Bombyx mori: one gene and its partner. Each later gene encodes a partner of the first gene's protein in a complex. Links are inferred from orthologs where the notes say so. Each region holds a gene or a part of one and is shown on either strand. Other genes may lie near its edges.

What was found.
Region 2: Taf1 (region 1) and transcription initiation factor TFIID subunit 5 share a complex: the UniProt entries of both Caenorhabditis elegans proteins name them as parts of the TFIID basal transcription factor complex. The link is inferred for Bombyx mori from reciprocal best matches to the Caenorhabditis elegans genes taf-1 and taf-5.

What each region holds. Positions count from the first base shown.
Region 1 is NC_085123.1:8,778,388-8,783,002, forward strand, and holds the start of Taf1 (transcription initiation factor TFIID subunit 1), read right to left. Parts: upstream 2,998-4,615; 5' UTR 2,843-2,997; coding exon 2,623-2,842; intron 1,431-2,622; coding exon 1,363-1,430; intron 1,223-1,362; coding exon 993-1,222; intron 743-992; coding exon 628-742; intron 520-627; coding exon 338-519; intron 228-337; coding exon 56-227; intron 1-55. UniProt on the Caenorhabditis elegans protein: The TFIID basal transcription factor complex plays a major role in the initiation of RNA polymerase II (Pol II)-dependent transcription.
Region 2 is NC_085110.1:9,225,088-9,228,919, forward strand, and holds part of transcription initiation factor TFIID subunit 5, read right to left. Parts: intron 3,774-3,832; coding exon 3,574-3,773; intron 3,038-3,573; coding exon 2,836-3,037; intron 2,734-2,835; coding exon 2,544-2,733; intron 1,578-2,543; coding exon 1,502-1,577; intron 1,429-1,501; coding exon 1,291-1,428; intron 1-1,290. UniProt on the Caenorhabditis elegans protein: The TFIID basal transcription factor complex plays a major role in the initiation of RNA polymerase II (Pol II)-dependent transcription.

The DNA of each region.
Region 1 (4,615 bases):
TTTAAAGTATAATTTTATTAATATATTTAGAAAAATACATGATGTTGTTCCATACCTTTAATTTGAATCCGTAGTCAAACCCATCACCTGTCTCTGGTACATTCAACATATCATACCAAACTTGAGCAGGACCAAAACGCCAGTGGGCCGGTGTTGGCCTTTGTGCTTTGTCTCCTGAGCCTAATCCCTTATCGTCATTAGACATCTGTTGATTTTCTTCCATAGGCCTAAAATAAGTGTTATTAAATTTATTTTTAAATCATTAATTTAAGGATACATACATAAGAGAGTAAGCTATTGATAAAGAAAATGCTGTTTTAATCTTCAGTATATTTACTTGAGAAGTTTCTCTTCATCGTCACTTGCATATTGAGGTTCCTGACTGTCTGGAACCATCGGTGGTGTGTCACTGCCTGTACTTCCACTGCGCTTTCGACGTCTACGTTTTTTAACACCGCGCCATATTTGCGGTAAGCTGGACAGTTTTCCAGGTCCAAAAAGTCGAGAGAAAAGAAGTACCTACATGAATATTTATCAAATAAAATTTCATGAAAACAGCAAATAAATAACATTTATTAGCTTGAGAATTCAGCTCTTGTTAATATTTAAAAACAACATATTACTCACTCTATCTGGTCTGAAATCCGGAAACAGTTCTGTGACATCAACATTGGCATATTTAGATGGAAGCATTGCAGCCAATGGAGTATCTAGTTTTTTGGGTTTTTCTTGTTTGGGGGGTCTGTAAAACAATTAATTTTCATTTTATTTTAATGTCATATTGTATTTCTGTATTTACCAATATCTACTAAATTAAATTTTGATTACGAAATAGGCAACATATTGGTACTTACATATAAGCCATTAATTTGGTTACATTATATCATACTATTAGCAATTATGCAATTTGTGTTGTCATAAAATGAAATTCTCTATCTAATTGGGTGAATCTGTTCCCTTTTCATTCATAAGTTGGAAAAGAATATACTAACGGAACTGTCGAAGGAGGGGGCATAAGTCCACCATCACCTTCCATATCACCTTCATAGCCATCATCATTGGTACTCTGTACCTCTTGTTCTCCTGCAATATCAGTGTCCCTCCAAGTATCTTCTTTTAATTCCTCTTTAATACTCTGTGAATCAATAATCACAGGAACATTGCTGCTATGCACAGTTTGTACATCTGAAGTATTTTCAAATTTTATCACATTATTTTCTACCTGTAACACCAACATAAATTTATTTCAGAGCTAGTGATTAGTTTTAAAATAATGGTAGGTGTTTAGATAGAATAGATAGCTGTTTAATAGATTAAATACTATGCAATATTATAAGTTGGTTTGTGAAATCAAAAACATACTTTTATATCCTCTGCTGCATCTTCAATGTCAAAAAAGTCCACAGCCGATGGACTTTTCTCATTATAGTCTGATGAAATAAAATAAAGAATTAGATGTTTACCATTGCTGCAATTAATAATGTCTTCAGTTTAAAAGTTAAGTTAAAATTTCAGTTGACATAAGAAAATGTGAGATTAAACCTTAACAGTAGTTTGAACCATACTAAAAGAAACTACTATCTTCTAAGTTTCCTGACTTGGATTTCACTGTTGACTATGTATGATTTATGACTGAAGTTTGCTTACTCACTGCTAATCTATGTGCATATTCTCATCATAAGTGCATATTTCTCATAATACCATTGGTTATCCAATTCAAAACTTTTATATCAGCTACTTAAAGGTAAGGCAAAGGTTCTGCATATTTTTACTAGAAAATAAGCAAGCATTCCATTTCAAGAGTAGGTGATTTCGGCATTTGGGACTTCAAACTGATTTGCCATGTGATGTCTATGTGCATGTTACCATTTAAAAAATGTGCTAATTTACACTAATGAAAAGGTTTCTTAATATCTAATATAGGTTTGAAATATAAAAATCAACAACTATTTGTTTACTATTTTACTTTTTTTTATTTGGCTTTCATTCAATTACCAATACAGCTGTGCACAACCCATTTACTTTTTATATAAGAGTGACGGAGACCCATTTACAGCAGTGGGACAAAATATAGGCCATATTATTTCCTAAGGTTTATACAGTAATAATTTCGACACGAAACTAAATTCAAACTTAGTATAGTGGTTTAGAAGTGAAAACATACAAATAGAGCTAGGTACTTACATACTAATTATAAATTATATATAATTTCGAAAATAATTAAATGACAATAACATTTTTTGCAACATTCTTCTGTAATGAAGCAAAGCCTACTTTCTGCAGCAAGATATTCTGTCTCACTAGTACCTACAAAATCTACATGAAAATCAGGTCAGTACTTCGAGATTTGTGTAAACAGAATGAATAAAATGTGAAAATCCCCAGTTGATATTCTACGACTTCTTTTTAGCTTTACCCCTTTAATTTTATTCATTTAAGGTCCGTAGTGACAATTACAAACACATATTCTAAAGTATTATTACATTTACTGGTTTACTTTCAAGGCATGTTTATTCAAATGTAGTCAAAATTTAGACAAATTTAGTCAAATGTGTCGTCAAATGTAGTAACACACTCAACATCGACAATGCAGAGTCGAAATTGATAAAAAAAAACACTAACCTTTTTCTTCCTCTTCTTTAACTGGTTCCTCAACCTCCAGGACTTCAGAGAGCATAGACCCTAAACCTAAGCGGCTAAGCGATGATAACATTCGCTTCGATTCACCATCTAGCAATCCATCATCTTCTAACTGACCCCTTTCGTCAATATTACCAAACAAGAACCCGGTCAGATCCAAGCCTGAACGGCTGTGGTCACCTTGTTCGTCACTATCACACATGGTTCGAAGAAGTACAATACAATTACATTTCCAAGTTCATAATATTAGTTTAATTAAGATATGTATAATGTTTAATAAGGCTACTCAAGTTGCATTGCAATTTTTTTGTTTCAAATGGTATTATTCTTTATTTATGAGTGTTTGCTGTTTGCCTCGTAGATTTTGACATAGATTTTGAGTTGACATTAAGTTAACAGTAGTAGAAGTTCTATTTTTCTAACTGTAATGGCAAAGGTATCAAACCATAACGACTAATTGTTTATTTCCTTTTCTTATGAAAAATGATAATACAGAATGAAATAAAAAACAAAGTTGATTAATTTGAAACATTAATCAATTGGTATGAAATTAAATTAAATGAGATGAGATAACATAGGATGAAGTATAATCTCAGTAAAATGGTGGATAATAATTATTGAAACTTTTTCAGTGGACATTTTGGAAGATCCCGAAAAGCTACGTCCATCGGCTTTGTTTCATTTTCCCACATTTGTGCACTTTTACAGATACTAAAAGGTTAATAAGCCACCGTTATTACAGATTTAAACCTGAAGAAACACTAAATAGACAAAATAAAACAATTCACACAACTTCGCTTCTCGCGTTCCCGTCAAAAAGTCGAGACAACTATAAACTCCAGTATCAAAAATGTTTGATTGATTCACTAAATTGGCAAAAAAATTAATACTCATAACAATAATTTATTAATTATTATAATTTAAAAAAATAAGCCGACACCAATGTTCCTTGCCCAGTAAAAAAGTTTAGGTATAAAATGAAATTAAGGAATAAAATTGAATGTTTTGTGGAATTAAGTAAGTGAGATGGAATAAAGTAATAAATTTTTGGAAGAGCTCGAAAACCACATCTTAGACTTTTATAGAAACAATACGATTAAGAACCTACATAATCATCTGCCTTTATCTCTCCACTGCTGGATGTACGCCTCCCCATAGTCTGCCATAATGAACGGTCCTCCGCCTTCCGCATCCAATCTTCTCCAGCATATCACCGTAAGTCTTCGGTTCACAGGGAAGCGGGACGTTCAGCACTGCGCTTCCGGGTATGTGGTATCGGGTATCGGTCATTGGGTCTGCGATACGTATATCCGGCCTATTGCCACGTCAGCTTTGCTAATCTTTAGGGCTATACCGGTTACTTTGGTTCTTCGACGGATTTCCTCATTTCTGACTCGATCCATGAAAGAAACTCCGAGCATATCCCTTTCCATAACATGCTGTGTGACTTTGAACTTACGAGTCAGACCTACGGTCAATGTCCACGTTTGAGCGCCATATTATGTCATGACCGTTAGCACGCAATCGTTGAAGACTTTCATCTTTAGGCTTTGCTGGTTTGCTGAGTTAAAGATATGACAGAGCTTTCCATACGCAGCCCAGCCCAACTGTACGCGCCTATCAGCTTCCTTCTCGAAGTTGGCCCTGCCTAGATAAAAAATTTGGCCAAGATGGTGTATTCAGACACAACTTCGAGTGCCGCGGATTCGACAGAGAAAGAAGAAATAATATTTAATAATAAACCGAAAGAAATAATAAACAACCACATAAAATAAAATATCTCGCGTTCTTATCATTGCTGTTTCAATTAATTTCTTTAATTCTATTGCTCAATACAGTTCATAATTTAATATAAGGTAAGAGGCGAGTAGCAAGTTCGCAAGCAGGCTACTAGAAAAAAAGCAAAGTACACTACGTAGGTACCGTCAAGCTGACAAAACAAAAAATCAGCATCTATATACAAAATAGTTGTAAT
Region 2 (3,832 bases), on another chromosome or scaffold:
GTTCCTGAGATTAGCGCGTTCAAACAAACAAAAAAACAAACTCTTCAGCTTTATAATATAAGTATAGATTCGTTAATACTAAGTTTTAGATATTAATCTTTTCAATTTATTGAATAAAATAACAGCCGATCGTTTAATAGAAAATGATAATATAATAATAATAAAAATAATCTGTAAAGTAGTTAGATCCTTATGAGTTTGCCCATTATAATTTGATAACATTTTTGGGCTCAAATATCTTTTAATTTATTTCCCAATTCCATATTCAAATTATTATAGGGAGTGATTTCTGGTTTAAGTTTAGTGTGTTCTCTGTGTGTTTTCGCATTGTTTGCTTTGAAAAATTTTATTCACAATTCTAGAAAAGTTAAATATCATGTTATTTCCGAATACGAATTATACCGTGGCATCAGTAGAAAAATGGGTACCGCATTAGATAATTGACTTCCATCAGCGATTTTGAGTGACTGAAGATAAATTCAAAATAGTCGAAAATAAGATCTGTAAGATCGTTAAAAGTAGACGTTTCGCGAACAAGTTTGTGTTAACCGAACCACTACAGTTACTAGAAATCCGACTAAGAAATTTCTGTAGGTCCATTACCAATATTATTTCAGTCTTCAATAAATTTTCCATCAAATGGTGTAATTATGTAGCTATAAACAAATTTTTGTTTGTTAGGAAACTGTAATTCATCATAGTCATCGCAAACCTATACTTCAAAAATAGAGACATGAACTGATTCTTTGATTATTTGTAATGTAATTGATTATTTGTAAAGTTTATTCATGACAGACAGAGTGCAAGCTTAACGGTACTTAGCGGTAGGCTGCGGCTTAACTATGCTCCTGGCGTTCCTGACGTCCATAGGCGACGGTAACCACTCACCATCAGGGGAGCCGTATCTGGTCTGCCTACAAGGGAAATAAAAAAGCAATAATACCAAAGTTTCTTTTGGTAACGCATGCATTGTTGGAAAGGGACAGTGCATCACATTCGAAATTTCATTTAATTAACTTACTAGCCGGTTTTAATGATAAGTCATATATCACGAGATCCACGAGATCCCATTCCACGACGCCCTTCCTGCGGCCAATAATCGGAGGCGCTGGCGGGACATTACAAGGAGTAAAATCATGTCGAAGTATAATGGTCACGACCCTCAGCAGTGAGGAAACGACGCGAGGAGATAATATAATATATTTGTAAAATACAGAGCCGGTTCACTGCCCCGTTCAGACTGGGAACTTTGATTCCGATTTCAAAGTTTGTTAAACCGGACCCACGTACCAGTTGTATCCTCAGAGCACGAAAGCAGCATTGTTTTAAAAGGATCAAATGCAACTTTATAAACGGGGCCGGAGTGCCCAAAAAGGTTGCGGCACGTATCACGGTCCTTTTCCTCCATCATCCTCACGAGTACATCACCTAAAAGTAAGCAATTTATTTATATTAGATTAAATCATTTGAAAACAATTATATATTTTAACCAAATTTATACCTGCTTCCCTGTCTATATCTTGTAGTTTTTCTGCAGATTTCATTCCTCGCAGTTTAATGGGAGTCAATGTCCATACCTAAAATATTTTAAATTAGAATATAATTTTGAGTTTTAGGATGAATGAGTAGTGTTTAGGTAGTAATAATTAGAGACAAATTATAATTTGAGAAGATAGTTTCTTTAGAATTATCGATTAGTTTCTCGGATGGTTTTCAATCATTGGGTACCCGAAGATACTTCGATCTATTAGGGGCTGCTCTGAGTCGTGATCTACCATTAATAACTACCCTTACCACAGGGCAATGCTTATCGTAGGGTTTCCACAGCGAGATTTAAGAGTTCATTGTGTCACTCGGCTTTGCCTGGAATTAACTAACTCTCCCTTTCTCAGATTTTTCCCGAGCATTGCGACATGTCGTTAGTATTAAGGCATGTCCCTGAGCCTTTGAGGTAATTAGGAATAAAATATTTAACAACTCTGATTTGAATTTTGCAACGACCTTTTGATGCTTAATTTAAGCCTCGTATACTTACTGTACTTAAATATTATCGTAAAAGCTTTTTAGCATTAAGTGATCTCTGATCTTTACAGTCATGTAGAAAAATATGTACACAAGTGGAAACATGATGAGAGCGTTATATTTACAAGCGGTTACTTCATATTTTACTGGGTTTACAGTTTTGTGGATAACGACCTAGGAATGATCACTGAGCGAGTGTCTTTGTCCTAATGCTCGAAACTTAGATGTGCTTATGTGTTTGATGATGTGTTTTTGACAAATATCTTCTATTCTGTAATAGCTGTCGCTACAATAGTAAGAGTGCTAAATTGGGAAAAACGTGGTAGCATCTCTAGTCAGGTTTTCTTTTTTCAAAAACTTCTCAAAGAAAAAATCTAGTCTTAGGCGATACAGTTCCTTCAAAAGCTCTAATTAAAAATAGCAGCTTCATTCCTATGCTATTTTTTGTTAGTTAGTAAAAAGCATATACCTGAAAATCATAACACATTAAATCAATACCATTCGCTATATACTATGTATACCTTTATGTTTGAGTTATTAAATCCCACAGCCAAAAGGGTGGAATCGTCACAAATATCACAACTAATTGCAGTATGTCCGCTGTTCAGTAATGTATAGAAACAAATAGAGGGCAAGCTGTCTGGTCCTAGCTGAACACGTTTTGATGCTTCTCTGAGTGCTTTGCCTTTCTCTACTTTATCAATTTCTTTTCTAAAATAATAAATTAAAATATGTGCACATAATACTATATTTTTTATTTCACACAATTTCTTTCTAAAAAATTCATAAATTTGCAATCAGTACAAGACTTACAGATCTGGTAGAGGGATCCTGTCATTAGGAGGTGCATTTGGGTCAGATTTTGGTTTCTTCATAAAAAGATTATCTTTTTTCGCTTTTTTCTTTTTTGGTTTGTCAGGGGTTTCTTCTACTTCTTCTTCGTCTTCTACCGGAGCCGGTAGAACTTGAATATCGGGCTCTTTCAGGAGCCCATAATACACTTTGGTGCGATTTTCTATATAATTTAATTTTTTGTTTAATTTAAATTTAAAAAGTTTAATCTTATCATTGTTCTTGTGTTCATTAGGTATTGTCGTTTATATAATTATTTATAATAAAATGTATTCTATTTATTTGGCCTACCTACTTAAGAGTCATTTATTTTTTGGCCCTGTGATGCAATGTCATCATAATGTTATTTACAGTATAGTTACAATTTCATTGAATCAGTGTCACTATTTAAATACCGGAAGAAAAACTGGAGAACAATTGAATGTATAGATGAGTGAACAATGATGATATGTGGCTCTCATGGTGATATGTGGTTATCAGAGCTCATACAAATCAAAGCTTAAATGTCATCACACATCTTAAGACATGAGGTAGAAAAACCAAGTCTAATGTTTATCAGTTGTCTCAACATTAAAACAGGAACTTATTACTGCAGCAGAAAAACGTAGAACGGTGGTACCTACCTATGCAGGTTAATATTTAATGGCTCTCATTCTCATTGGTGTTTATAGTAATTCGATAATTATTCAACATTCTCACCACTTTTCATTGGTTCTCCAAGTACCCCTCCAGCTGTAGCTCGAACTTGTGCTTGAGTTCTTCCTGGACCATCATGGACTTCGATTTGTATATGATTATTTATTATATTTATTATTACTGAGGAATTTTTCTGTTCGTGTAAGTAACGTTTCAGTTGTGAAGATGCATCTCTTGATAACTGAACTGTAAATTTATTTGTGCTGGAAATGAAGAATATATTTAGATGTTTGTCCTTGAAATGATTTTAGCTTTAAATTTA